Cricetulus griseus: one gene and its partners. The protein of the gene in region 1 interacts with the protein of each later gene in a biochemical or structural test. Links are inferred from orthologs where the notes say so. Each region holds a gene or a part of one and is shown on either strand. Other genes may lie near its edges.

What was found.
Region 2: the proteins of Rnf14 (region 1) and ubiquitin-conjugating enzyme E2 E1 form a complex in vitro, tested with the Homo sapiens proteins (3 studies listed by BioGRID, with this or other methods). The link is inferred for Cricetulus griseus from reciprocal best matches to the Homo sapiens genes RNF14 and UBE2E1.
Region 3: the proteins of Rnf14 (region 1) and Ube2e3 form a complex in vitro, tested with the Homo sapiens proteins (2 studies listed by BioGRID). The link is inferred for Cricetulus griseus from reciprocal best matches to the Homo sapiens genes RNF14 and UBE2E3.
Region 4: the proteins of Rnf14 (region 1) and Ube2e2 form a complex in vitro, tested with the Homo sapiens proteins (2 studies listed by BioGRID). The link is inferred for Cricetulus griseus from reciprocal best matches to the Homo sapiens genes RNF14 and UBE2E2.

The regions. Positions count from the first base shown.
Region 1 is NC_048595.1:199,333,028-199,340,436, forward strand, and holds the end of Rnf14 (E3 ubiquitin-protein ligase RNF14), read right to left. Parts: intron 4,145-7,409; coding exon 4,014-4,144; intron 1,582-4,013; coding exon 1,524-1,581; 3' UTR 333-1,523; downstream 1-332. UniProt on the Homo sapiens protein: E3 ubiquitin-protein ligase that plays a key role in the RNF14-RNF25 translation quality control pathway, a pathway that takes place when a ribosome has stalled during translation, and which promotes ubiquitination and degradation of translation factors on stalled ribosomes.
Region 2 is NW_023276807.1:175,390,792-175,398,200, reverse strand, and holds the end of ubiquitin-conjugating enzyme E2 E1, read left to right. Parts: intron 1-3,482; coding exon 3,483-3,615; intron 3,616-4,678; coding exon 4,679-4,826; intron 4,827-6,025; coding exon 6,026-6,123; 3' UTR 6,124-6,796; downstream 6,797-7,409. UniProt on the Homo sapiens protein: Accepts ubiquitin from the E1 complex and catalyzes its covalent attachment to other proteins. Catalyzes the covalent attachment of ISG15 to other proteins. Mediates the selective degradation of short-lived and abnormal proteins.
Region 3 is NC_048599.1:96,286,679-96,294,814, forward strand, and holds the start of Ube2e3 (ubiquitin-conjugating enzyme E2 E3), read right to left. Parts: upstream 4,969-8,136; 5' UTR 4,832-4,968; intron 4,220-4,831; exon of another isoform or gene 4,199-4,219; intron 3,742-4,198; 5' UTR 3,714-3,741; coding exon 3,520-3,713; intron 1,787-3,519; coding exon 1,736-1,786; intron 1-1,735. UniProt on the Homo sapiens protein: Accepts ubiquitin from the E1 complex and catalyzes its covalent attachment to other proteins. In vitro catalyzes 'Lys-11'- and 'Lys-48'-, as well as 'Lys-63'-linked polyubiquitination.
Region 4 is NW_023276807.1:175,953,908-175,961,316, reverse strand, and holds part of Ube2e2 (ubiquitin-conjugating enzyme E2 E2), read left to right. Parts: intron 1-4,709; coding exon 4,710-4,893; intron 4,894-7,409.

The DNA of each region.
Region 1 (7,409 bases):
ATTACATAAAATGTGCTGGATGGAAGCCCATGAAAAGAATATGTTCAAATAAAATAGGAGTAAAAAAAGGCACAGGCCCAAGAAAAAAAAGGAGGTGCTGTTCTGGGACTATTCCTTCTTGATTTAAGATAAGTTTGTGTGTGTGTGGGGGGGGTCACTCAGTAGCAGGGCTCAAGGCTCAGGCTCAGCATGCTTGAGGTCTTAGATCAATCTCTAGAACAAAATCAAACAGCCACCAAACATACACACACCAACCAAAAGACAGAAACATGAGCTAGTTTTAAATTTGATCAGTGCTTTGGTTCAGAAGCAACAGGGCATCTCTATTTCAATTGTAGGATGAATTTTAAACTATTTTTATTTAAGATTAAGCATCCTCACTGACAATCCAGAATCAGTCTGTGCTGACAATTAAGCAATTCCTTAATTTTCAGTGTTAAAGTAGAAAACATGTGTTCACAAGACGCAGGTCAATTACTGTCATTTTCAAAATATCACCAAGAGGCTACCAAGCCACTTATCAAATCATGAGGAAGACAGTTTTCCAAAAAGCCAGTAAAACCCAGAAATAAAATCCAACTATCAAGCTATAAATACCACTCCAAACACTGGCATCTAAGGGGGGGAGCCAAATTCCTATTGGTGACTAGAGGACCCATGTGTTCACAAGGTTGGGGCCAGAACCATGGTGGCTCTTTCCTACTCCAGCAGAGGAAACAACACACTGCTGAAATCAAGACTAAAACTGCCCTTGCCAACAGAAGGCAGGGGAGCAAAGGAGAGAGTGGAGAACAAAATGTGGCAGAGACAGCTCTGAGCCTTCTGTCCAGGCGAGCAGAAGGAGGAGCTCTGAACCAGAATCATTCAAGCCCACAGTTGGCTCTAAACTAGTGGATTCAATACACCATTCATAAATACCAAGTGACCCACAGGGCTTGTGTGCTAACAGTATCTTTAAATTTATTGTAAATTTCTATTCTGGAAAGTGGTAAATCAGAATGACACTGGGACATCTGGTCAGTTACAGAGTAGAAGGCTCCCTTCAAAGGGAACTGAAGAAAGAGTTTGCAGTATACAGCAAATGGGTCAGGCTCTCAGTGCAGTGTCAATAGGGCTGTGACTGTCCCTAGCTGCAAGGTATAGTACTGAGAGGGCTCCAACAATGTCAGGCTTCTTGGACATAGTCTGAAAGTTTAACTCTTGACCCTCTCCCTAACCTAAAGCTTGGGGAAGAAAATAAATATTTACTTTATAACTATCCACAGTTTGGGCATATTATAATATTTAATCTATAGTTTTCATTTCTGAACCTTTGGTATATAATTGTTCGGAATTATGTTACATGGAAAAAAATCTATGTGCCTTAATCAGTAGTACCAAAGAAAAATATAAACCCTGTTCTTCCTTCTACACAGGAAGAGTGAATATATGGCACCCTAAACATCTTGCAAGGTTTCTTTGTGTACTTGACGATAGATTAGGGCAAACCATTCCATTTCTATACGGCGAGCAGAAGAAATGAACTAGTCTTCAATTTCATCTTCCCAAACGTCTCCATTAACATCCACAGCATGGAACAGTCTGAAAGCATAAAACAGAGGTACATACTTATTTGAATCTCTTTCCTTCTTTCTAAAACATTCTACCCTTCTGATAACACCTTTGCATAAATTTTCTTCCTTAACCATTTCTTTAAGGAGGGCTGAAATCTAAGTCTTTATAAACAAGCTGCAAGATGTTTGAAAGAATAGTATTGGTCAGCTAGGCATTGTGGTGTTTGTCTTTAGTCCCAGAATTTGGGAGGCAGAGGCAGGAAGATCTCTGTGAGTTCAACTTAGTGATTTCTAGGCCAGCCACGGATGTGTAGAAAGATCTCCATTTAAAACAAAATAAAACCAAAACAAACAAAAACAGAAACAAAAAGTTAAAGCAAAACAAAACAAATCCAGTACTGCATGCCAGGAATCTGTCACTAAACTGTAGCCCATCCCTCTTTTTACTTTATAAAATATGAGGAAATGGGCATTACCAAATGGGAATGTATATGGTCTGTGAAATAAGTCAAGAGTGGGGAGTCATGCAGTTTGGAAGAAACTGAACTCTTTCAGTAAACAAGCCAGACAAGTGCTAATCTTTCCATGCTCTCTGGTTACAGTCTTGCTCCTGCATTGGTGGCATGCTGTGTAGAGGTCCTTTGGTTTCTTTCCCTCTCAAAAGCTAGTGCCATTTCCAACACTAACTTGTAATACTTCACAGAAGGACTAGGTTCTTCAGTTTCTCTGAGTTTTATAACACTGATGAGTGTAGGTTCTCTACAGAAACCAATAGAGAAGAACACTGATAACTTTGGAGAACTGTTGAACAATAATCCACACTGTTTCAAAGAATCACCTTAGATTCTTTTCTAATAACAAAAGGGAAAACATTAAATGATAGCACACTAACAAAGGAACAGTCTGACCATGGTTCTCTCACTGGAGTACCACATGCAGTATATCACATGAAGTATCATTGTCAAAACTGTTACTACTGTTGGGTGGTGGTGCATGCCTTAATCCCAGCACTGGGGAGGCAGAGGCAAGTAGATCTCTGAGTTCAAGGCCAGCCTGATCTACAGAGTGAGTTCCAGGACAGCCAGGGCTACAGAGAGAAACCTTGTCTTGAAAAACAAACAAACAAACAAACAAACAAACAAACAAACACCCAAACAAAACAAAACAAAAAAACAGGATTGAGAATTCAAAGCCAGGGCTACCAATATGGCCCACAGGATTGAAATGCTTGCCCCGAGTTATAGCCACAGGACCCATGGTGGAATGGAATGTGATGGAAAGGAGGTAACAACTGCTAAAAGTTGTCCTGACTTCACACATGCACCATGACACAAATATACCTACGCACTACACACACAAATCATTTAATTTTTAAAGAAATCAATATAGGCCAGCCTATATCACATATGCCCTTTCTTTTAAAATGTGGAGTAAGTGGGGTTGGAGAGACAGCTCAGCTATTAAAAGCATGGCTACTCTTCCAGAGGACCTGGAAGAGTACCTACATGGTGGCATCACAACCATCTGTAAACTCCAGTTCCAGGGGATCCAATATGTTATTCCAGGCTCTGAAGGTATCAGGTGAACATGTGGTGTTCTAACACACATGTAGGCAAAACACCCATAGGTATAATTTTTTTTTTTTTTTAACCCTCTGAGACAGGGCTTCTGTGTGTAGCTCTGACTGTCCTGGAACTCTGTAAACCAGGCTGACCTCAAACTCAGAGACCTGCCTGCCTCTGCTCATAACTGCTGGGATTAAAGGCATTCACCACTACTGCCTGGCTAAGGGTAATTTTAAGGTGAGAATAAAAAGTAAACAGTAGCCAGGTGGTGGCGGCACACACCTTTAATCCCAGCATTTAGGAGGCAGAGACAGATGGATCTCTGAGTTTGAGGTCAGCCTGGTCTTCAGAGTTCCAGGACAGCCAGAGCTACATAGTGAAACCCCGTCTCAAAAACACCAAAAAAACAAAACAAAACAAAAACCCCAAAAAACGAAAAAAAGTAAAAAATAAATGTTTTTCAAGAGGTGTATACTCTGATCATAAACCCATTTCAAGAAGATTTAAAAATCACATGTAGGAAGAGTTCTCCAAGTCCAGCTACTTTAGAAAATAAACTAACCTGCATAATGGTATCAAAACATACTACAGATAGGCTAGAAAGACAGTTGAGAATGCCTGCTATACAACCATGAGGACCAGAATTTGTATTCCAACACTCATGTAACAAATCAGGCATCCTGCAAATATCTGTACTTTTAGCTCCAACTTTGAAAGATTTGATACCCTCTCAGTCCTGTTAACTCGAGTTCACATGCACACACACAACACACACAACACACACACAACACACCACACACACACACACACACACACACACACACACACACACTCACTCCTGCCTGCACCATACAACTTTTTAACCACTAATCTAGGGAACCCTATGTATACAAACCTGTTAAAGCATGGAGAGTCAGGGTCAGTGAAGTGTTTGTAAGGGTTGGCTCTGGAGAGAGAACCCATGCAGATCCAGCAGAAGTACTGCATACAGCCGGTACAGGTCATCTTGTTACAGCCATCTAACTTCTGGTGGGAGGAGACATGACAGCAAGGTGATGAAGGCAGAAGAGGATGCACAAGCCAAAAATAACATACCATATTCCCCAGTCCATTGTTCTTTTCTCAGGGAGGACTGGTATACAAGCAACAAACACAATGACAATCACTTATGCTTACACATTTGCACTGAAAGTAAAATGCAGACATACTGAGCAGGTGGTCCTACAACTAGATACTTAGCACAATCTCTTCTCATAAATATAGACACAAGGCTGGGTGGTGGTGGTGCACGCCTTTAATCCCAGCACTTGAGAGGCAGAGGCAGGTGAATTTCTATGAATTCAAGGCCACCCTGGTCTACAGAGCTAGTTCCAGGAGAGCTACGACTGTTACACAGATAAACCTGTCTCAAAAAAACCAAAGAATAAAATAAAATAAATATAGACACAAATGAGAGGAACACGTAACTAGGTAAATATTAAAATGTTACTTTATTCTCAGTCCTAGAAATAGAATCTAGGTTATTTAACATGCTAGGTACCCACTCTACCATACACTATATCCCTATCCCTGTCTACTTCTTACTTTTCAGACAAGGTTTAAGTTCACCTTGGCCCTGACAATCCTTCTGCTTCGGCTTCTCAAATGGCTGGGATTACAGGCTAAGCCAACCAGGCTGGGATTAAATTTTAAATTTCTGTACAAATCAAAATTAATAAATGGAATCATATCTAATCTGTACCATAAGGCTCAGGAATGGTAGAAGTTGTCAAATATGATGCTACTTTCCTTAATGATGTAACTAAGGAATTATCAATTTCAGTTACAACATACAAGACTGAAAAAAATAAAATCAAATGGAAGGCAATTTTTGATTTTAAAACCCATTAAGATTTTGGTGAGAAGTAGTCATCAATCTCATTTTAGGGGAAGGGCGTTTAGGTTATCGTCTCCACCATTGCCTGGATTGTCAGTTCTTGTCATCCTTGTAGATCTCTGGAAGTCAGTCTCACTAGTGCCAGATCTCTCCTTGGACCTATAATGGCTCCCTGTAATATGGTATCACTCATCCTGCTCTCCACTATTCTTCCCCCAACTCAATATTTCTGCTCCTCCATTTCCTCCTCTCCTCTCCTCTTCTCCTGCTCTCTTTCTGGCAGCTCCCCCTCCCCTACCCTCATGCTCCCAATTAGCTCAGGAGTTCCTGCCCCTTCCTATTCCTGGGGTCCATGCATTTATCCCCTAGAGTACTTCATGTTTCCTAATTTCTTTGGTGAAGAGGATTATAGGCTGGTAATCCTTTGCTCTATATCTAAAATTCATAAATGAGTGAGTACATACCATGTTTGTCTAAAATGAGATTGATGACTACTTTTTATGCCATCCTAGAGCCCTCATCCAGCGGCTGATGGAAGCAGAGGCAGACATCCACAGCTATACACTGAACTGAACTCTGGAACTTAGTTGCAGAGAGGGAGGAATGAAGATCGAAGGGGTTGGTAGCAGGTTGGAGAAACCCACAAACAGCTGGCCTGAACAAGGGGGAACACATCGACCCCAGATGCTGTCTGGGAGGCCAGTACAGGACTAATCCAGACTCCTGAACATGGATATCAATGAGGAAGCCTCTGCACTCTAGGAGGCCACTGGTAGTGGATTAGTATTTTTCTCTGGTGTAAGAAGAAACTTTGAGAACCCATCCCACGTGAAGGGTTCTTGCCCTGGACACATGGAGAAGGGCATAGGCCCAGCCCAGGATGATGTGGTGAACTTTACGGAGCCCCCGTTGAGGGCCCTACCCTGCCTGGGGAGTGGAGGGTGGATAGAGTGAGGGTCAGGGTGGGGTAGGAGGGGTGAGGGTGAGGGGAGGGAGAGGGAGAAGGGATGGACATGTGAAACAAGCTTGTTCCTATTTTGAACTAATAAAAAAAAAAGATTTTGGTGAGAAGAAATAAATTTGTCTATTTGGCTAGATTAATAGGGCAAATGCCTCCATTTCCTGAGCACATATTTATTAAACACATTTGCTATTCTGAAGGATAAAATAGTTCTGCGAAGTCAGTTATGATTTTTTTTTTTCTGAGACTGAGTCTCATGTATCTGTGTTGGCCACGAACTTGCTACATAGCTAAGGGTGACCCTGACCTTGTGAATTTCCTGCCCCATCTCCTAAATGCAAGGACTGAATACTGGTATGTATTTCCATGTCTACTTTATTATTCTGGGACTGAACCCAGGACTTTGTGCACTCTAGGCCAGCACTCTACTAACGGAGGTACATCCTAGTCCCTGATAAGGCCTTTAAAAACAGACTGGGGGGTGGGGGGGTGGAGAGATGGCTCAGTGGTTAAGAACACTGGCTGCTCTTCCAGAGGTCCTAAGTTCAATTCCCAGCAACCACATGGTGGCTCACAACCATCCATTATGAGATCTGGTGCCCTCTTCTGGTGTGCAGATATATGTGGAAGCAAAATGTTGTATACATAATAAATAAATAAAATCTTAAAAAAAAAAAAAAAAAAAAGACTGGGGCTGAAGGGATGGCTTCTTGGTTAACAGCACTGGCTGCTCTTCCAGAGGACCCAGGTTTAATTCTCATCACCCATATAGTGGCTCACAACTATCTGTAACTCCAGTTCTAGGGGATCCAAAGCTGCCTTCTGGTCTCTGCAGGCACCAGGCATGCACTTGGTACACAGATAAACATGCAGGCAAGCAGTCATACACATAGAATAAAAATCAATCTTTAAAATCACACAAATTAAGAGTTGACTATAGCTCCAGTGTGGTCTTGTTCTAACCTGCTATTGTCCGTTTCAAAACTCATTAAGTGGGGAACTTAATCCCCACTGTGGGGTATTAAAAAGATGGGATCTAGCCTGGCAGTGGTGTCATACACCTTTAATCCGGCACTCAGGAGGCAGAGGCAGGTGGATCTCTGTGAGTTTGAGGCCAGCCTAGTCTACAGTTAGTTCTAGGACAGCCAAGGCTACATAAGAAACCCTGTCTTGAAAAACCAAAAAGAAAGAAAAAAAGTGGGAATTAACTTAACCTGAATATCGTATTTAGAAGCAGGGCCCTTGGGAGAAGATGAGGGTGAGATAAGGTCATCAGGCTGGCGCCCCATCACTGGACACTGGTGGCTTTCTATGAGAGAGCACTACCAGCGGAGACACACTACTTCTCACTACGAGATGCTCTGCACTCAGGACAGACCAGAACAAAATCCAAAATAAGCTTTATAACTTATCCAGCCTTGATATTGTTATTAGCAAAAGAAAGTGGAATGGAG
Region 2 (7,409 bases), on another chromosome or scaffold:
TAAAGTTGATAGCCAGAAGTATAGTTTTTAAAATGGAGTGTAACTCCGCTTCTTCAGGGTTTCTCATTTGAAAACTGGGATGTAACTGACTTGACTGTATGGGAGAGCTGCAGAGTGCTGGAAGGAGGAGTAGGGAGGATTCACAGAAATTATTGTAAAACAAAAGTTTGTTTTTGTGGAAATTTTTATACTGGAAAAGTTAAGGTCAATCCAGAGAGCACATCAGATTCTACGAGGACTGCTCCAATGACAGGGCTTTTGTTTTTGTTCTTTTGTTTATTGTTTGTTGGTGGTTTATGCTTGTATCATAAATGACTTGAACTCATCTGTGCTGTCTAAATTCTCTTTAAGTCACATGTGTTGAGTTGAAGTTACTGCCAATGGTGGCTTCAGGAATTATAGTCAGCAGTGTACCATTAACAAAGTGAGCATATCCATGGGTCACATGCACCTTGGAGTCGCAACAAAAGCCACCAGTGGGGAGAGTCCTGTTGACTAAGTGAGATGCTGCCTGACAGTCGGCAGACTTGGCTGCACTGGCAGAATTGTTCTGTGGCTCGCTACACCTGCTCCTAGTGCTTTAAATCTGTGTTGGGTCAGAAAGCATTATAGGGGAAAAAAAATACAAGGTTTACATTAGAAGCAGTTTTCACTTTTCTTGAGTGTATGTGACAAGAAACAACCATCTTTTTTGCCTTGTAAAAGAGTTTTATTATTTTTACTTTCATTTTGAACCATATTTTGGCTGCTTTAACTGTCTAAGAAAATCTGTAAGTGGGGCTGAAGAGATGGCTCACTGATTAAGAGCACTTGCTACTCTTCCATCCAGAACATCATATAGTGTAACCATTCGGGTTGGTGACAGTTAAGTTTCTTATTGTGGAAACCAAAGTATTTCCTGTTAATGCAAGCAACAATGCTGGAGTGTGGACACCTGCAGTCCCAACTCATGGGAAGATGGGGCAGGGAGTCTTGAATTCAGAGGCAGCCTGTGTTACATAACAAAGGGGGAGAAGGCAGAAGGCTAGTAGAAATAAACTTAGCTGACCTCAAGTGTAAACCTGCTCAGCCATTTTAGTGAGAAATGGATGGGCATCTGGGTGTGATGGTGCATACCTATCATGCCAGCATTTGGAGGCCTTGGCAGGAGGATCACCCCCCCCCTTTCTCATAGTCACATATATGTAAGTAGAAATAAGTAATTTTTCAGAGTCTTTCCCTGCACCCCTTGTGAAAGTGATACCAATTCTGTGTACTCGAAGATGAGTGACTGTACTGATATCTAACCTAAAGAAAGTCTCCAGCCCAGGCTAGCCTCCTGCCTTAACCTAAGGAGGATTACAGTCTACCACACTGGCTTTGGGTCCCTGGAAATAACACTAAAGGGTTTTAAAGGCTGTACTGTCTGAGCCGGTTCTCTCTACTGGTGACCATCACCATCAGTGACGCCTGTGAGCCAGTCTTAGATTCCCTCAGTTCCCTTTAATTCCTGAGCACTGCCAAGTCTGACACAGTTTGAACTGGCTTAATGACTTGCTCAGGTCACAGGGCATGTGTTTGGGGCTATGTATGAGCTCTTGCTGCAACATGTCTATCCCAGTTGGTCAGGCCCATATTTTAAAATCTCAATGTTGTTAGTGTTTTCACTCCCAGCCTGTTCTCTTTTCAAAGCTCACTCTCATCATGTTATTTTCATCCTTCTCTCATCCTAACTGAAAGGGAAAAGAAACAGTGTGGTTAGGTGTAAGGAAGTAGAGTCACAGGTAGCCTTTTATCTGCTCTCCTTTCCACTTCATCTCTGTCCCCTCATCTGAAAGTCAACCCTGCTTTAAATCAGTTAATGTAAATTTTTTGAGGACAGTTTGTCTTATTCAGCCCCTAGTCATGACCGTTTGGCACTCTGCCCTGTACATGAGCATTCATTAAGAGTTGAAGCAAATCTAGTATATTAAAAAGAGCAGTTTTGAGCCTGGCAGTGGTGACACACATCTTTAATTCCACCTCTTGGGAGGTAGAGGCAGGTGGATCTCTGAGTTTGAGGACAGCCAGGGAAGCTACACAGAGAAACCTGTCTGGGGGATTGAGGGGAGTAGTTTGTCTGCATTGCCATTTGCCTGCATGCAGTGTGTACTATTTCCCAACTCTTGTCCTTGCCATAGTATTTTCCTTACTGATCAGAGCAGGTAGGTGTATTGCACTCTCATAGGTCTTAGAATTGGAGGGTAAGCTATTACCACTTTTGTTAAGGTGCTTGGATACAAAGCACTCTAGTAGCCAGGTCGATGTTTAAGGATACTTACTGTAGCCAAGTGAGGGTCTAGCCTAAGCATATTAAACAAGAATAGGGTTTGGTTAATGGCTTACTGGAGTTAAAGTTTAACACTGACGTGAAAACTGATTACATCCTTGACATTCTCCTACCTCACTCATTACTTCATAAGGTAAAAAGCATAATCATCAAGCTGGGATTATGGATGACCCAGTGTTTGTGGGAGCTGAGTCAGGAGATCATGACTTCCAACGCAGCCTGGGCTACTCTGTCTCAGGGTAAATCTATTGCTAAAGCAAAAGTGTATATATGTATATGTTCATTATGTGTGCCCGTGGAGACTGAAGTCAGCGTTGAATGCCTTTATCTCAACCTGGAGTTCACCAATTTGCTAGCCTGGCTAGCTGACCAGCCCTACCAGGGTCCAAACTCTGCCAAGCACCTTAAGTTAGGGCAAAGATTAAGGAGATAGAGCACAAGGAAGAGTCAGTCTATGGGTCAGAAAATGAGATTCTTGGTACCAGAAATAGTTACAAGAGATGATGTAGCCCTGAGAAAACTTAAATGAGGACATGATCTGTCCTAGGTGTGGTTGAGGAGGTTTTATTGTAGAAAAAGGGGGAGAACAGGCAGGGACATCTGGAAGAGTCCAGACTGAACCTGGCCAGCAGATTGAACAGGACCATGATCTGGAGTCGGGGGGGGGGGGGGGGAGACGGACGACACGGGGATGACAAGCAAACCAAGAGAGACCCATAGTCAAAACAGCTGAGTTATAAGGTAGAGAGGCTGTGGGGGGGGAACAGGAGGGGGAACTGAGCAGTTTGTCCTTCCTCTCTATCTGCTCAGGACAGCCAGGGGGGATAGAAGCCCAGCCTCTGGGAGGGAGGTGAGAAGTGCAGGGAGAAGACACACAGCCTAGTGAGACGTAGCTCAGGTTTCTTTGAGATCTAACAGTCACCAACCGAAGCCATGGTTTTAATTGCTGTTTTACCTTACATATTAAGACATTTTAGAGTTGAAGGTATTGTGTCTAGTTATAACTAGTAGGCTTAGCATGGACCAGACGTTCCTCTGTCATCCCTGATGGATGGTGAGTTTATGGCAGTCTTTATGAAGAATCCAGGCATTAAACCAAAGGGGCAGGGCAGGGCTTCTTTCCTTTTCTGAGACAGTGTCACCATCCTTTATCTGCTGGTGTATTATTTCACAGTGCTGGTCCCAAAGGTGACAACATCTATGAGTGGAGATCAACCATTCTTGGACCTCCAGGATCTGTATATGAAGGTGGTGTATTCTTCCTTGATATCACTTTTACACCAGAATATCCCTTCAAGCCTCCAAAGGTAAGAAATCTCATATGTATTCTCAGATTTGACTGTTCCTATGAGAGACACATTGAAGTTTTAAAAGTGTAATCACAAAAGCTAAATTCCTTCCATGGTTGTGTTGGTGTCCTACCAATGCCTTCTTTTTTTTTTTTTTCTTTTTTTTCTTTTTTTTTATTAAATTATTAATATTTTCACATGTACTTTCCCTCTCCCTCTCCCTCCCCCCACCCCCATTCCTTCTCCCCCACTACCAATGCCTTCTTACCTATGGATACTCCATTTAGGTAAAGTCTGTGATTTAGATAGACAGTCTAGATATGATGTGCGGGTCAGAAAAGATCTCAGCTTCTTGGGTATACATGTTTGTAGTTTTAAGTGAATATAATAACTATTGATTGGGTTGACTACTTAGTTGGCAGTAGGCATTTCTAGAGGTAAGTGCTTAAAACATGTGCTATTTATTTATTTATAGTCAAGCTTACTAGATTTGAAGCTTACTCAAAAGCAGTGTATTACTACCAGCTAACACAAGAGGTCAGCAAACAACCAACAATTCAAACTTAGAAATATCCATATTTAAAACATTAAAATTAAGCCAAGCATGTCATCCCAACATTCTGGAAACAGCAACAGGCAGGAGGATTAAAGTTTGCAGCTAGTCTAGGATATATAGTACAAGGCTAACCTATTAAGAAAAGAAAAACCCTGCCAGGCGGTGTTAACACACACCTTTAATCCCAGTAGATCCCAGGGAGGCAGAAGCAGGCAGATCTCTGAGTTTGAGGACAGCCTAGTCTAGAGTGAGTTTCAGGATAGCCAGGGCTACACAGAGAAATGCTGTTTCAAAAATAACAACAACAACAAAAAAGAAGTAAAGAAAAGAGAAACCCTATAGAAGAGAGGAAGTGTTGAACTCCCTTTGGCTTTGGCAGTGGGTATTGCCTTAAAATGAAAGGAAATGGTTTGAGTGAGCTCTGTAACCTCACAGTCAAGTCTTCTACATTTTATGGATTAGCCAGCTGAAATGTAGTAAAAAGTCTCCTACCTGAATGCTGCTTAACAATAATCTTATTTTTAGGTTACATTTCGTACAAGAATTTATCACTGTAATATTAATAGCCAAGGAGTTATTTGCTTGGACATATTGAAAGACAACTGGAGCCCAGCACTAACCATCTCGAAAGTCCTCCTCTCTATCTGCTCACTCCTTACAGACTGCAATCCTGGTAAGGGTCATAATCTGTACTTTATTTCTTACTAAATGAAAAGGTACTTGTTTTCCACATAAACCAAGAACCAAGTTTTCAAAGTATGTTTTAATCAAGAGTTTAACCCACTAGTTGGAAAATGCAGCCACTTTATTATTCTGTGTTCAGCACTGAGGCTGGGTGGGTGGCTCTATTGCCTCCTTGTTTAGGTGGTGGTTCAGTGAGCACTTGCCCCACAGCCAATTCTCACTTTTTAAAGAGGTATTTTTCTGCCAAGTACTTGGTGATTACAGAATTACTGGGACTAATCATTTTAAAATAAAAAGAAATTATTTCAGAATTACAATCTTACTGGGACTACTCATTTATTTTTTAAAGGATCTTTGCAAATGTAATTTTGGCATTTTTTTTTATTTTCTTTAAGATTTATTTATTATGTATACAACATTCTGCCTCCATGTGTGCCTGCAAGCCAGAAGAGAACACCAGATCTCATTATAGATGGTTGTGAACCACCATGTGGTTGCTGGGAATTGAGCTCAAGACCTCTAGAAGAGCAGTCAGTGGTCTTAACCTCTGAGCTATCTCTCTAGCCCAGGTCTAATCATTTTAAAATAAAAAGAAATGATTTATTTTTCTGCATAAACATATAAATTTAACTAGGCCTTCCATTTTCAGAGAAATACATTTAGTTGGGTGGTCTGGGTTTGGCCTTTTCTAGGTATACCGACATAATAGTGTCGATTGCACCAGCCACAGACTTCACAGCATCCACAGTGCTCTAATTGTGAGCAGAGCTGGTCCTGGCGCCTTGGGTATCCACACTTGTAAGTTTGGTCATACTCATGAAGAACAAGAGTGCCACTTGCTGGGAGAGAAGGAGAATAAGAAAATAAAGCCAGGCCACTCCGTTTTTTAGCAAGACTTTTCCTAACCTTCCTTGCTTTACTTTTTATTGAGATTAGAAGGCTGGACTGGAGAAATGGCCCAGCTATTAAGAGCAGTTGTTCTTGGAGAGAACTTGGATTCAAGTCCCACACCCACATGGCAGCCCACATCTATAGCATCCATACACATAAATCTTTTCAAAAACTGTTTTTAATGATTTGAAAACACCATGGTGTTTCAGACATAGGGCATGGTTATAACTGCTGTGTGTTTATATCTAAAGTATCTGATTTTCTTTCTCCAAAGTAATCTACCTATTTTTCTTCCAGCTGACCCTTTGGTGGGAAGTATTGCCACTCAGTATATGACCAACAGAGCAGAACACGACAGAATGGCCAGACAGTGGACCAAGAGATACGCTACATAAACTGGGTTTTCAGTTCTTCCATTATCTGTCTGTCACAGAAGAGAGCTGCTTATGATTTTGAAAGGGTGGGGGAGGGTGGGAGTTGGTAAAGAGTAGGGTATTTCTATAACAGATATTATTCAGTCTTACTTCCTAAGATTTTGTTGTAACTTAAGGTATCTTGCTACAGTAGACAAATTGGTAATAGTGACTTTTAGAGCTGTCAGTTTTGCAAGATTAGCTGACTTTTAGTACAACAGAAAAGAATGTATGTGTAGACACTTGGGTTCCATTGATTGTAGTCTACTGTAATTTCAAAATCAGCTTAAATTTGTATAGGTTACACACATGGCCATTTATGTAAAGTCCTATTTTCTTGTTTAAAAAAGTTTGAATTTGTTTTTCTTAGAAGGAAACAATGGTATTTAACAGTTTGTAGAGATTGTTACCTCATATAAATATAAAATGGACACCTGGCTATGAGATACCATGTAGGAAACGAGTAGTTAATGTATTTTATTTCATTTGCAAATTAAAGGTTGAATCAGGATTTGTGGAAACCTGTAGTGAAATACCTTAAGCTGTTAACCGTAGGCGTGGAATAGCAAATGCTCAGTGGACTGGTTATGTGTTTTAGACTTCTTACGTCTGCATTTGTTACTGTGCTAATAAACAATATTAAGAACAACCCTGACCCTTCTATATTCATTGCCTCTCTGGAGTCTTTGCTTCTGGAGCAGGTTAAGGAATACATGCTACTAACATATGCCAGGACAGGTACTTACACGCAGATTTGGAGGGATCTTAAAAAAAAAAAAAAAAAATAGAATTGGGCATGGTAGGGCACACCTTTAATCCAGGAGGCAGAGGCAGGTAGTACTCTGTGAGCAAGTTCCAGGACAGTCTTCAAAGCTACACAGAGAAACTCTGTCTCGAAAACCCAAAACCCAATAGGCAGTCAAAGTCAGCTAAGCTTCAAAGATAAACTTGCTCCCTGTTTCTGAAAGCATTATCTGATTTGCAGATGCAATGGCAGTGGGCACATAAGAAATGAGTTGCCCTGGTCAGTTGGTGCTACCACCTTGCACGGCAGTTTCTCTGACTCAGTAGTACTGCTGCTGCAGTTTGTGGGTGGAGGCCAGAGGATTAGAGATCAAGGTCATCCTCAGCAATACACTGAGTTTGAGAGTAGCCTAGACTACCTGAGATCATGTCTCAGAAAAAGGAAAGCTAACCCAGGAGATGTTTACTCTTATCATTTTAAAAACATGGTAACTAATTCCATTGTATTAAAGCATAAGATCTAA
Region 3 (8,136 bases), on another chromosome or scaffold:
GCCCAAAGTCTCACTAGTCCACTAGTCTAATGGCCAAATGCTAAGAAAGCTTCTATTTCCTCTAAAATAATTCTCAGTGACATTGTGCAAACATTCTTACATTCAATGTAAAAGCTGGTTCCTTCACCACTGCAGCATGGCTCTGAGGGCAGTCAACACAAGTCTACCACATTCTGTAAATATATTCTCGTCCCCTGGATTGTGCTATTTGCAGAAAAGTCAACCACCTTTGAAAATGTTTGATCTTATGTGCAACTTTTAAATATCTGAGAGTTTTGTACTGATCGTACGGCTCTCGTAATGGTAAAATAAGTACATATATTGCAAATTAAGTGATTCTTCCAGAGAGCAAACTTAACTTGACCTTTTCAAATGAACAGATTTAAATACCTTTTAGGAGGTTAGACAAAAATACTTCAATTCATTTATTTTTAAAGCAGCAAAAAACATAACAGTACTCACTCATAATTAGTTGTAAATTTTCTAGTAATTAGATTATATGGAAAAAAGGTGAAAATAATTTTAACGACATTTATTAAACATAATCACAATATTATCACTGCAACATGTAACAGCAGAATTTTATGCTCTGCTAAGCTTTTAAAATCCAATGCATATGTCACACTTTTAGCATGTCATTTTGAACTAGTCACTAGTGAGGCTGCATGTGGCCAGTGGCTACTGCATGGGATAGCATCCCTCCTAAGTTTATACTTTAGTTGGACATACCTACTTTTAATAAGCACAATGATTGCTTATTTCCAAAAAATTCATTGGAAAATTCAGAATCAGATCACCTTATCAACAGATCTAATTAATGTACACAGTAAGAGGTCAATGGTTACATTTATGTCTATAGCTGATTCAGAGGTTTGTCGGATCAACACAAGGAAACACAGAATTTGTAGCAGAAACAGATTAGACACTAAAGCCTTTCCCACCAAACTATAACATTGCCACAAGTGCACCAGACACTCAATCATAAGTATCTCTATGCAAATTATTTAAATTTATCTTTTAATTGGATACATTCCATAATCCATAAAAATCACTGTTCAAAAATAAAAGTATAGTATGCAAGATGAAATGAAAAAAAATTGATAAAAATGTCCCTGACTACTTTTGATGCATCTTAACATTATTAAGCACAATAAACTTAAATTATTTTTTCCAAATTACAATTTACTCTCTACTTACTAAGAAATTTTGAGTAATTAGGACAATTGCTTAAAATGTAAATAATTGCAAGAATGCACCCTCCGGAAAACAACTGAAACTATTAGTTTAGCCTATAAAATTTATCCTTAAGGCGAGTTACTAATAAATCAAACAGAAGCGATTACCCTCTTGTTTACCACACTTACATTTTCTAACACCGCATTTAGCAATTTCTAAATTTGGAGGTCAGTTCAGATTACACACAAACAGTTCTTTAAAGCTGAAAATTTCAGAAATCACTGAAATATACTTGTGAACAAAAATGCTCTGCAGACATACAAGCAAAATCAGCACCATCCACACTAATTTCAGAAGCCAAAGTCCTGTGTTCCTAAGTTCACAATGTATACATGCTATCTTTTCTCCCATCTTTAGTTAATCCAGATAATTTTAGTTTAGTGCACAAGATAAAACAAATGAAACCAGCTTCTTAGGCTGCACATACATGCAGGCAAGATCATTACCTTCTCAATATTTTTCCACAACTTGAAATGCAAACAACAAATGTGTTTCTTACCTGCAGTTGGGAGGAGGATCAAGGGTTATTTCAGCTAGCTCCTTCTGAATTCTGTAAGTGAAATGAGAACAAACAAAAAGGATCTGAGGCAGTCTACAGAATAACCGGGGAATTACACTGCCCTCTACCACCATGCAGTTAAATGCAAGGCTGGCTTTGCCTTCAGTAATGCTAACATGGCTGCTTCCTCTTTGTTCTCAGAGGCATAACCCAAATCCCTTAGCAGAAACTTTGCGGCTCTTTTTCTCACGTGCTATTGTAAATAAGTGTGTCATTTACACCTGATTTGAGAAATAGTCCTTTCTGACTACTAAGTGAAGGATATATAATCTGCTAAAAACCACTCTTTACCAAAGAAATTCTCTTTTCAAGCTTATATGCAAATGAGACAAAAAGGGAGGAGGGAAAACACCAGAGATTTTGACAATGATTTCAAGTCACTTTTTACTGAGCTAAAAATGAATAGGCTGCTACTAGAGCACATTAATAGTTTTTGGCGATATTTTATCTGTCAGAAAAGTTTAAAAATTATAAACATGTTTGCCAATGAAAAATTTCAAACTGGCACTCACATTGACTGTAACTGTTTGCCTCTGATTTTTAGATATACCTTTAAAGTTCTATAAATTTGCAGCAGGGAAGAAGACAAATATATAAGCTCAAGTTACAGGCAAAGGCAACTCTGGTTTTCTTCAAATTTAGGATGTTTTCAAAACTTGAGACATATTTAATACGTTCCTCCACAAGATTACAATGAATCGGGCAATTTAGATTATTTCAAACACTGTTCCTCGTCAATAAAATATTCTAAAGCTGTTAGCATTTGATTGGTGGTTAAAATCCATACCAAGAGTTTGGCTCACAAGAAGAATGCAACATTCCATCAGCTTTTACATTTTTCTTCCTTCATTTATGACCAATTAAAAACAACAACAAAAAAACACCTGTGCTGGGTAATGCTGTGAGCACATTTTAACTGCTAGTTTCTCTAGGTATCCCAATATGACTATCACTCAGAGTCCCAATGGCAGGATCATATCTGTCATCCCAGAATATGAAAATCAACAGAAAACAAGGGATCTTTAACTCTGGCTTGGTTATGTTTCCCCTGCTTTTGAGTTAGCCTGTCAAACATATCTACAAGTTTTAGAGTGAAGAAGGAGGACAACCACGACACCGAATAACATCTAAAACTGTAATTGGCTACTTTTCAGTTTCATCTGCCATCACCAGGAGGGATAACAATAATTTACCCAGTCACACTTGTGCTGCAAGATTTCAAGTCTTGTCCTACACACTGTGGACCAATTTAAGGCACTCGGTAAGACCTGCTTCCCAATATAGCCAAGCCTGGTATTTAACAATTTTCTAGTAAATATTGCCATTTCTGACCATTCAGTTTTATGGAGAGAGGCACTGCTGCTCTCTAGAATTGTCAGTTTCACTCAAGCATGACTCACAAGAGGAAACCTCTCCAACGTACCATCTAATTGGGGGTTCACCAAATTTTCCTTGCTACCCTCTTCATCTGTCAGGATCACCCTCAGCTCCATTTGAGACAGCTCCTCAAGTTACCACAGTACAGAACAAAGTAGCCTTGCTTTAAAGTCAATAGCTGTAGGAAGGCTGCTTATATACCACATACAGAATGACAGCTCATCCAAGTTCAAACACATTTGATGGAGAAGTATTTCTGAACTATTGCCACTGTTGTTAAACCAACAAAACCACCCTATGGGACAGAAGGCAACCTGACAATGTGAGTCCTGCCTTGGAGACATTACCTTTTAGCACTAGTGGATAACTTAGCAGTCGTTTTGCTAGAAAGTTTGGTGTTTTTCTTCTGCTGGGTGGCAGAAGGTTTTCTCTCTTCCTGTTCCTCTGGCTCTGGAGCTGCAGGGTCTCGCTGGTCAGCATCTGAACTGCCACTGCTGGTGCTGGGACTCTCATCATCCGACCTTTGCCTATCACTGGACATCTTGGTGAAGTTATCTCTGGGAAAACTTCTAAGGAGAGAAGGGACCGTCAAGAAATGTTAAATCTTAAAATAATAATAATAATAATAATAATAATAATAATAATAATAATAAACAGCAGCATGTTCTTCTCTCTATTAGTCTTTTATTGAAAAAGATTCGACTGCCCCCATACTTAAGGTATAGCAAGGTTACAGGGAGGCCGATGTGTCTTATAAGGCAGTCGCTGAGGGATTTACCAAACTCAAGTTAGAAAACCCACTCACATTTTTCCCCCATCCCTTAAGACAATCTATCAATTGTCTACTTTCTCAGAAGGCATGAAACAGATTTGCCAAGGAACTTGGGCAACGGGCATTAATAACATATGACAACTGTAAATAACAGATCTCTCGGAGAATGTTCAAAAGTCACTAATATCGTCTAAATATTTACAGGCTGACACCGGTCTGAGCTACCAAATCCTCCTTCCCAGAGGGAAACATACCCTGTTAGTCGCCCATATGCTTATTTACGGTGGCGGGTCCTCCCGTGCGCACCGAAAGCCTTTGAACACAGCACTCAAAATTAAAAAAAAAAAAAAAAAAAAAAAAAAAAAAAAATCAACTGGCAGCCGCCCCACCGCCTTCCCCACGGCCAGCGGCGAGGATTCACCCGGCCAAGCCGGAGCTGCCACCCGGGGAAGGGCAGGATCCGAACTGCACCTTCTGCAAAGCTCCCGGTGCCACCGACGTCCCCCGCTCAATTCCTCCCTCACCGACCGACATTTTGTCAAAAAAAAAAAAAAAAAATTCCGCAAAGCGGCCAAAAGCCCGAGGGCAAAACAAACAAACAAACAAAAGCCCTCCCCCACCCCCCACCCCCAGAAGTGCAACAAATTGGCGCGGCCCGCCCCGGGGCGAGCGCCGGGCCACGCAGCTCCGCGGTCCTTTGTGGGGAGGGCCGCGCAGGGGACCGCGCCACTGCGCCCGCCGCCCCGCCCGCCGGGGGATGCGGGACCCGCCGCCCGCGCCGCTGACTGACGAGCGCGGCTGACTGAGGAGCGCGGCGCCCGGCGCGAACAAAGCTGCCGCCCCCGCCCCCGCCGCCCCCCACGCGGGCCCCGGCCCCGCCGCCTTACCTCGGCCGCCGCCCCGGCCCGCTCGTGCGCCGCTACGCTGTGGGGGAGGGAGAGCGCCGAGGAGCCTTCCTTGAGGAAATGGAGGCAGCTGGGGGGGGAACGGGGGGGGCGGAAAAAAAGCCGCCGCCGAGGCTCCGGCCCGGGAGTGTGGAACATCGAAAGTCGCAGGCGGCCGTGCAGTGCCGCGCTGCGGCCGGAGGGTGGCGCCGCCCCGCGCTCCGGGAGCCACGGTGGGGTGGGCGCTCCGCCGGCCGAGGCAGGGACGCGGGAGCCCCCCGCGCGCTCAGCCTCCCGCCGCCCGGCTAGGCTCGGCTCGGCTCGGCTCCTCCCGGCCGCGCAGTCAGCAAGTTCCGAAGAGAGAGAGCGAGCGAGCGGAGGGAGGGGGGAGGGGCGGGCGCGGCGGCCGCGCGTGCTCGCCGCTCGCCTGGCGGACGGGGAGCGAGCTGCTCCTGCGCGCCCCCGCGCGCGCGTCCCCGCCGCGCCTCCTTTCCACCGACGGGGGTAGGGTTGGATGAGGAGGGGGGGTAAGATGCGCACGAGTCCGCCCGCGCGCGGCCGGGACAAAGAGCGCGACGGGGACCGGCGGGCTGGCCCCTGCGCCCTTGGCCGCCGAGCTTGTACTGGAAGAGAGGGAGGAGGCGGGGGCGCGGTCTCGCGGGGCCGCGGGTGGCTTCCGGCCTGGGCCCGCCTCCGGGGCAACGCTGCCCATTGGACAACCCGCCCCTGAGGCTAGTGGCCCCGGGGTTGCCAGGGGATCCCGTACCTGAGCAACCGCCCGGGCGCGTGGCTGAGGCTTCCCAGATGCCCCGAGAGGCACGAAATGAATGGTGTGATTGAGGAGGCCAAGCACTGGGGCAAAGGGAAGCCGCTGCTGGCCCCTCTGTGAGCTAAAGGAAGTGGCAAGGTGAAGAAGTCCAGGTCTCTGAGGGAGGTGGAGGGGATTTTGCGACCAGGGGACCAACCTGAGCTAATCTCTGGCACCCATCCTGCAGTGTCGATGCCAAAGGGGACTGCCCTCTGGACATTTTGAAAACTTAGAAATCCCAAACTATTTTTGAAATGTCCCGCTCAAGATGTAGTGAGTGAGGCGATTGGGGGGGGAGGGGGGTCTATAACCTGACATTTCTGGCAGCAGGCTCTGCCTTGCATGAGAAACACCAGTTCTGGATAGAGAAGCCCTGGGTGGATCTATGGCAGTGGCCTCATAAAAACTTTTAGGGAGGAATCATGAAGGTTGCGCTACTCTTGTGTTTCTTTTTGCAGAATCTTAAGTGGAGACCAGTTTTGCCCCAAGCACAAAGTAGACAGAAGTACAAAAACTTCCTGTTTGCAGCTCCTGAGAACGTGTTCCAGTGATGGAACCTCAAAGGAATTTGTGCATTCCTCTCCCACAAGTGTCCAGGGCAAAAGTGCTGGGAGAATGAGTTCACAGAAGAAGCAAGAATGGCAGAGCTCTGTGAGATGAGCCAGTGTTCAAGAGAAAGAAAAATAACTAAGTGAGCCAACACACTAGTTTTCCTCCATATAAAAAAGTTTGGGTAAAAGAGCTACTCAGAACTATAAGCCACACGTGTAACTTTCCCAAGACACACACTGGGCAAGCTTACACAGAGACTATAACCTGTCCCAGTTGGTATGTCCAAAGCCTAGTCTCCTTACTTCCTGCCAGGAGTTCCAGGTCTGTCAGAGGACTCCATTACTGAAGTTCACCTGGATGAGAGGAAGGGAACGGTTTCCCAGTTAGGACAAAGTCCAGTCTCCAGAGGGACTGTGATCTGTGTGTGCATCCACACACCAACATTTTGATTTGACTGAAAGGGTACAGGTGGGCAGGGCGACGCAGAAGACTCCCAACTTTACATGATGAGACAGTGGAGCAGCAGCCAGCCAGTTTGAAGTTTGGGCATGTTTGGGATGCAGCCCTGATTGTGTATAAAAGGTGAGTTTCTGAGGGAAATTCAAATACCCTAAAAATAGCCTGAGGGCCCAAAGGCTAATGGTTAACAAAAATTCCATGAATCTTTGGTGTTTGGATTCGTGGAGTCCCGATCAGAATATTTAGGAACTACCAGATGCTTAAGCAAGTGGGAATGCACTTGTAATCTTCAGTTTGTAGCTGGCAGAAAGAAAATAGAATGGAAAGTACAGCCGGGCAGTGGTGGCACACACCTTTAATCCCAGCACTGGGGAGGCAGAAGGAGTCAGATCTCTGTGAGTTCGAGACCAGCCTGGTCTACAAGAGCTAGTTCCAGGACAGCCTCCAAAGCCACAGAGAAACCCTGTCTCAAAAAAAAAAAAAAAAAAGAAGAAGAAGAAAAAGAAAGAATGGAAAGTACTATATTACAGGAGGGAGAAATGAGATTGGAGCATTATTAACTATCAATTAAAAAACATCAGTGGTTCAGAAGCAGCCTTTCTGTGGAGAGAGAATAACTATGCAAAGTAGAGAAGCATCCAAGTGTGTGACAACCTTTGTGTAATAAAATTTTGTTTAAAGTTAAAAGAAAACTAACAGTGGGGTCATTAATGCAGCTTGGAGGTGTGGCGATGGATCTGAACCAAGAGAAGTTATTGGACTGAGCCTGGAGAGATCAGTAGGCCTGAATATTCAGGTGAAAATATACACAATAAAGACAAATGTTCTTGGCAAAATCAGAAAACTGCTTGGGGATACACAGCTCAGTAATAGAGTGCTTGCCCACATGCTCAAGGGCCAGGATTTGATCTCTAGCACCAGGCAATAGAAGAGCAAAAAATAGAACTTAACAGGCATGTGTCACATAATTCTTCCCCTGTTGTTAAACTGACTGTGGAGACAGTGAAAGGATCTGTAAGTTTAAAAAGAGAAGTATCTGCTGCCATAGCACCAAGGACTCAGCTACCTCCATCAGTTTACTAACAGGTGCTTCTTCTAGCTCAGGGCAGGGTACCATGATGTCACCACCCTGACCCAGGAGCAATGCTCTAGTTATAAGCTGTTTTAATGTAAAACCCTTCCCCACAAGACCCCCTGCTTTTGCACTTGATTTTCTTCCATTTGTTTTTGCAATGTCTGTGTTTGAAACTGGAGAGTGTGATGAATAACCACTTCAGGTGATATATAAGTCTAACGTAATGCAAATTATCCCCTAAAAAATTAGTAATTTCCCCCAGAAGGTGCCACAAAAATAGTACCAAGAAGCAGACATCAGCTATATAATGATTGTTCCCACTCCTCCTCTCTCTCTCTCTCTCTCTCTCTCTCTCTCTCTCTCTCTCTCTCTCTCTCTCTCTCTCTCTTCCCCCCCCCCCGTCCCTCTCTCCCT
Region 4 (7,409 bases), on another chromosome or scaffold:
CTCCTAATGTTTTGATCCATTTACCCTTTTCCAATTCTAATGAACATAAAGCCTGGCTTCTTGGTGGCTCTTTTCCCACGACTAACCAGAAATACCCAATCCATCTTCCCTAAAGGAAATTAAGGCCGCATTAGAGACATCATCACCCTGGGCTCGGTGGCTTTTGGACCAATTTGCTGGTTTGCAGGACTCTGATATCGCCACCCCTGTATTGTGTAATTTTGAGGGTCTGCGCAAGTATTTCCATTTCAAAGTACAAAAGGATGTGCTAGGACTTACCTCTGATTACCTTACCGTTCTGAAAGATTTTTAAAAGCTCGTCTTAGTTTTAAATCCTTGGATTTTTGAAAAGCACGCTCTGGAAATGTGATAATCGAATCTGAATCTTGGGAATCCAAATATTTGTCTTTACTCAGGCAGTTGGGATGCTCCTGGGCGCTTTGCCTTTCGTATGTGGGCGATGATGAAGATGGAGTGTTTTCATATGTCATACCTTGAGCTGTTTTCCCTAGGGAACAGCACACTTTCCCCCCCAATCAGGTGCTCCACTGTTGTTTCCCCCATAAATATCTTTTCAGTCATTTGAAAAGCTGGATAGCGCTGCATGTTCGGCATGTAATATAAAATATTTTACATTTTTGGAAAGTTTAGAAATCCCAAGTAGAAAAACTACAAGATGCCCATGACAAGTTTTCTTTTTTAAAATCATGACATTTAATGAATAGCAATGTGGACTTGACTATTGTTGGTTTCATCAATGGGATTTACAGACAGATCCTTTTGTTGTTATGGAACAGGTGAATTTCACTCACTATGCTGGTAATTTACAGAGTATAATCACAACATAGAGTACCTATCAAAGAAAGCATAGAAAATTAGTATGTGTAAATTCTTAATTGTAACGTGTTTTTGGAAAATCCACCATATTATTTTATGTTTTAGTTAGGAACTAAGGTTCACTTTGAATCTGAAATGAAATACCACTTTAGGAATCTTAAGATCTTTGAAACTGTTATTAGAAGACATATTTGTGTGTAGAGCGCTTGAATTTAGCTTCCTTTAGGTTAGGTAATTGTATGGAATTAGATCTTTACGAATTAATTTTAATATTTAAAAGTTTTTATTCAGGAACTTATTTATACTTTAGAGAGACAAGTCACCATTTTTATACATATAGTTATTGGAATGATCTATAGAGTATTATCTTTCATAAAAGTTAATTGTGCCTGAGTGTGCAGTCACTTTTATTTTCTGTAATCAAGGATTCAGAAAACACTCAGCAGACATTTCTTTAATTCTTGACATTTGAAAAGGTGATGCTAAACTTTTATTTCTAAATGATTTAATAAGGATTATCAGTGGCCCTGGGTGGGGGTGGGGGTGAGGGGTGGGATTTGTCAGTTGTAGGTCAAGTTTTGGATGAAATAAGGTATCTTAGATCAAAAGTGTAGATAATTTTTTAGCTATAAAGCTATAGAAATTATGCTCCTATTTAGGCATTTAGACACTTTCTGTGGTGATGTTTTGGATTGAACCCAGGCCTTCCCATATACGCTAGGCAAGGTGCTCTACCACTGAGCCACACCCCCCAAGCCTGTCACTAGTAGTTTTAGTAGCTTAATCTTCTGGTATTCTGTAGTAGTTTTAGAAATTTCAGTCTCAGATTATGGTATTTTACATCATTGAGTAGTCTATTCAGTAGTTATATAGTTGACATATTATTAGGTGTATGTAAATGTACTTAATACTGAACCGAGTGTGTGGTTTTATGACTAACTCAGTACATAGCCATGACTTGACATAGCAGTCATAGCAGTGGCTTCAGTGTAAGGTAACTATTTTTCTGTGGCTCTTGTGTTTGCCATGTGGTGTGATAGATTGCCTGAGGTTTAGGATACATAAAACAATTTTTCACTCTTTCACATCTCTTTACATTTTTTTTCCAGCAGCATTTTGCTCCTAGAACATCTAACCCTAAGAGTGCTTCTTTTTCTTTCCCTGTATATATGCTCTATCTAGCATCTATAGTGTACATACTTACAAGTTTTTTTTAACTTTTTGTAGATTTGAACTCAAAGAAGCAAGCTGAAAAAGAATACAAATATTAAACCCAATAATAATAAGCTTAAAGTCAAATAAAAATGGAAGAAAACCCAAGAAATATACTCAGACTTGTAGAGCTAGGTGTGAAACATACTGATATAAAATTTCAGTATTCTATTAAGTGACTTTATTGCTCATAAAATGTGTCATAGCTACGGAGAATGATGGTCTCCATTTACAGAAGGTAGGGGAGCAGTCTGGTTTCCTGTGAGTGTTTGAGAGCTGTTTGGACAAAGGAACTATTAGGGCTGGGGGTGGTGATGCTATATGTGGTGTCTTTTGATGCTTCATCTCTGTGCTTCCTGACTCTTCCAGTCCTTTGCTGTGTTTATTGTCTTATAAAAAAAAGTTTGTCCTATAAAACTTTCAGTCTGCTAAAGGCCTGTGTTAAGAAGCCACCATGTCTTTGAGCAAACTCTACGTTGAACTGAGGATGATGAATGTTGATTAGTTATTGGGTCATACCTTTGGACTAGGTAATGATAGTAATGCATTGTGTTTTAAGTGAGGCTTTTGTTTTTGTGTGCACCGAAGCATACTTTTGACCATATCAGGAACAGTTTTATTTCAAAGTCTTAATTTAAGAGTAACCGAAAAGAGTCTTTTTCAAGAGGAATTTAGATAAATCTCTCTCTCTCTCTCTCTCTCTCTCTCTCTCTCTCTCTCTCTCTCTCTCTCTCTCTCTCTCTCCCTCTCTCTCTCCCTCCTCTCTTCTCTTCTCTCTCTCTCTCTCTCCTCTCTCTCTCTCTCTCTCTCTCTCTCTCTCTGTGTGTGTGTGTGTGTGTGTGTGTGTGTGTTTTGATGATGATGGTAGTGGTGATGGTGATGACAATAGTCACAGGCAGTCTTGTTTTTTTTCAGAGACGTATATCTGAGCCTTAGCTACATGATACTCAGAATGGTTACTGGTGGCTTGAAGCCCTGTAGAATCTGGATATGGGTTTTGTCAGTTCAGTTCTGAGTCTGTCACTTTGCTGGGTCAGACAGGATGTGATAGTAAGGATCAAACTGGGGCTGATTATGATGGAATGAGATTGGAGAAGGGATATCCTCTTCACTCAGTGCATTTTTGTGTCTGCTATCTAGGTTATAACGGCTACCTAGGTATCAAGGTATTGAGGAAATTGAGTTGGTAATCGGAGCTGCTCCAGGAGCATGAACCCAGAGCAAAGTGAATTTCCAACCTCCAGGGCTATTTCCTCCAGACTGGGGAAAAAAATGAATCCATCAGTGTCTCAGTACAGTCTCTATCTCTTGTGAAACATGGTTGCTTAGTGGAGCTGGGTCAGTGCCCATACTCTCCTAAGCCTCAGTTCTTGTTTGGAATCACGTGGCCTCTGTTCCGTTATCACAAAGGTTACTTAAAACAATTTCCCAGCTTAGAGGATTTTAACCTTGGCTCAGCTCTGAGGATGTATCGATTGGATGTGAGCGTGGCAGTGCCCCTGTTTCTCAGCCCTGGGCCTTTTTGTGATGACTTGCCAGGACACTTTGCAGGTCTGTTTACCTGTCCAGACTTCTCATAACTGAGCCCAGAGTGCTTAGCCCAAAGCCTGAAAAAATTAGGCTCTCAATCCTTCTTTCTCTCTCATTTTAAAAGATTTATTTATTTTTATTTTCTGTGTATGATTGTTTTATTTGCATGTATGTCTGTGCACCACATATGTGTCTGGTGTCCAGCGAGGTCAGAGAGGGTGTCATCCCTTGGAGCTGGAGTTACAGCCCATTGTGAGCCACCTTGAGGGAGCTGGGAATGGAGCCCAGGTTCTGTGCAAGAGCAGCCAGTGTTCTTAACTGCTGAGCCAACTCTCAAGTCTCTTCTGGTTTGTCTTATGCCAGTTCTTTTGAGATGTAATTTACCTTATAAAGTTAGCCTCCTTCATTTTTTGTATATACTGGAGCTTGAACTCTGCTGAACTTGCACTCTGCCCAAACTATACCTCCACCATCTTAAAATGTGCAGCTTAGCCTGGGGATTGTCAGTAGCTCAGGAGTAGAGCACTTGCTTTACACAATGGGACACTGGTTACTGTCCTCAGAACTACAGAAACAAAGCATAGCCACGCTGAGGCTTTTCTGCTCTGACCTCCACTTAAGAGCATTATCACTCACAGGAAAGTTTCTGCTCAGTAAAAGTCACTTCCCTTTTCTCTGTCTCTATGTTCCCATGGATTTTACTGTCTAGATATTTCTTACAAATGAGCTTGTGCAGTCTGTGGTCCTTGTGGCTGTACTGGCTTCTCTCAGTTAGATTCAGGGTCTTCCTGCTGAAGCATGAAGATACCGGACTTCATTCCTTTTTGTGGCTTAGGTATATTGTCATGTGGATGAACCACGTGTTACCCACTAGGTGGAGAACATTTGAATTGTTTCCACTTTTTGTCTTGTGAATAAAAGTGCTACCAATATTTGTGTCTACATTTTACATAAATTCGTAGAAGAAAACCTTTGGCAACCCCCAGAGTTATTTGTTTTGTAATTAGGCAACTCCCATTTTTATACCTAATTTTACTTTTGTTTTGTAGTCTCATTTTCTCTCCATTCTTGATGTACCTTGTTGTAGTCCCTCCCACAGCAGACTAAATGATGTTTCATCTTTAATCCAGGATCTAAAATGTCCACTGAGGCACAGAGAGTTGACGACAGTCCAAGCACTAGTGGAGGAAGTTCCGATGGAGATCAACGGGAGAGTGTTCAGCAAGAACCTGAGCGAGAGCAAGTTCAGCCCAAGAAAAAGGAGGGGAAGCTATCCAGCAAGACAGCTGCCAAACTGTCAACCAGTGCCAAAAGGTAACCAGCTGCTGGCAGCTCTGGATTTGCTTTCAAGTTATCACCTTAAACTCATATTTTCCCTTGTATTTAGTCATTTTTCCGGGATGAAGGTTATAGAGTTTACAGGTTCCCCCCCTTAATATAATTTTTAAAATGTGTTTTTAATTGTGAAAAACTCTTAAAAGCCAATTCAGAGTCATGACATATTATAAAATCTGTACTTGTAGTGCATTGATATATTTCTATCTTGTTAGAAAAACATGAGCAGGACATTATAAAAGTATAATTTGATTTATGGTTATTTGATCATGAATATACTTTTCTATTCAGTAACACAGAATAGACACTGAGAATCTCTTGACTAGGTCTGGGAGTGGGGAGATGGCTCAGTGGGCAAAGTGCTTGCTGCTGAGTCTGGATTAACATCATCCATATAAAAACTGGGCATTATGGCACATATCTGTAACCACAGTGCTGTGAGTAGGGGGTGGGAGAGTGGAGTGTGTGTGTGTGTGTGTGTGTGTGTGTGTGTGTGTGTGTGTGTGTGTGTTGGACACAGGTGGATCTCTGTAACTCACTGGCCATCAAGTCTTTTCCAGTCAGTGAGCTCCAGGTTTAGTGAAGAGATCCTATTTCAACAACCACAAAAATCAAACCAGGATGAACAGGGAGTGATAGGGGAAATAACTGATGTTGAACTCTGACTTATACATTCGTTCTCTCTCTCCCTCTCTCTCTCTCTCTTTCTCTCTCTCATGTGCACACACATTCTCTCTGTCACACACACACTCATGCACACATGCATACACATACACATCTGTTGAAGCAATTATTAGTGACAATTTAGTCTCTGATCCTCCCAGTTGGTAAAGTCAGAAATGCTGGTGTTAATGCATCTTGATTTCATTACATTAGGTGAGGGTTGGTCTTGATTCAGGTTTCCCCTCTCCCTAGAGAATGGATAAATCTGGAAAGGAGGTACTTGGATGATGCTCTGTCGATACTTCAACCTCTTAAAGTGATTGACATGTTGGTGGGCTTAGAGGGAATCTGCTTTGATAGCATTATATTATAGTCTGGTGCTTGGAAGAAAATTTGAAAGGCAGATTACATTCAGTGGACTCATGCTTGCTAGTGATTTTATGTTCTTTAATACCTTTTTAACGAATAAAAATGGCAAATAGGAAATGTAGGTGTTACTTTAACTTTCTTCTCACACATGTAACTTCAGGTACAGGGAACTCTTTGTTGAATGATGCCTTTATAAGACATTGGAAGATATGAATTAGGGAACTGCTTTCCAAAAAACCAAAGACTGTGTATCCTTCTAACTGAGTTCTGTCCACAGGCCTGGGATGAATCTTTGTAGACCCTCTGGTGAGAGTTATGGTAACTGGTCATTTAAGACATTCATACTAACTAAATGCAGGGTATCCAACTTTGATATCCTGTTGTGACATTGTGGTCTACAAATGTTTTGGGCCACAGTCATAGCTGTCATAGATGCAGGCAGCCTATGTACTCCTGCCTGAATATTCACTTTTTCCTTGCCAGGATTTCTGACCATTTTCGAGAGAATTATATAAAGTCAGATAGCTCTAGATATTTACCAGTTTAAAATGGAACACGCTGGGGTGGGAGAACGTTTCTTTTTGCTGTTACACTCCATGTCCAGGAGGCCTTAGCAGGGTGACACCTGCTCCTGCCAAGTGGGACTAGGGTAGGGAGGATAAGAAAGGTTAGGAGTGGAGAAATGTAACATTTGGGTAAAAGCTGGTTTGGGGAGGATGGGTAAGACTGTCCAAATCCAGATCTTATGCAGTTCCATCTAAGAGCTCTCATCCTGCCCTGAGCTGCTGACGCTGAGGTTTTCAGGGCTGCTTCAGGCAGGGGAGAAAGAGGACCAGGCAGGTCTGTGGGGCGTAGTCCTGCTTGTCTGTCTGCACTCCCTATGACTGTTAATCAGCAGAGATCTCCCGTTTCTCTGTTTGGGAGTATCCTTACCAAAAACAAAATCCTCAAAACAAAGCTGCCTTTGAAGGAAGGTGTGCTGTTTAATGCACCTTCCCATTCATTTTACCACAGTATTTTAGAAAGCACCCCTAATGATTTCATGAATAAATTATGGAAAAAAGATTCCCCCTCTTTGTTTTGTTTTTTGAGACACAGTTTCTCTATGTAGAACTGACTGTCCTGGAACTTGCTTTGTGGACCAGGCTGGTCTCAAACTCCCAAAGAACCGACTGTGTCTGCCTCCCAAGTGCTTGAATTAAAGATGTGTGTGAAAGACACTCTTTAAATAGGGGATAAAACTGACTTTAGAGATGGTTTTCTGTGCCTAGTCCTGATTGACGTCCAATAGGAAATACTACTAATACTGCTACAGTAAGAGTCATCTTTTAGCTGCTTCCTAGAGAAAACAGTCACTTCACTGGCAAAATCATTGAATCTGTGATTGATGAATTGTCTGAATAAGATCCCCTAATGGGTTACAGGTGGCACTGTGTGAAGCCATTTACTGTTGGTTTTACATG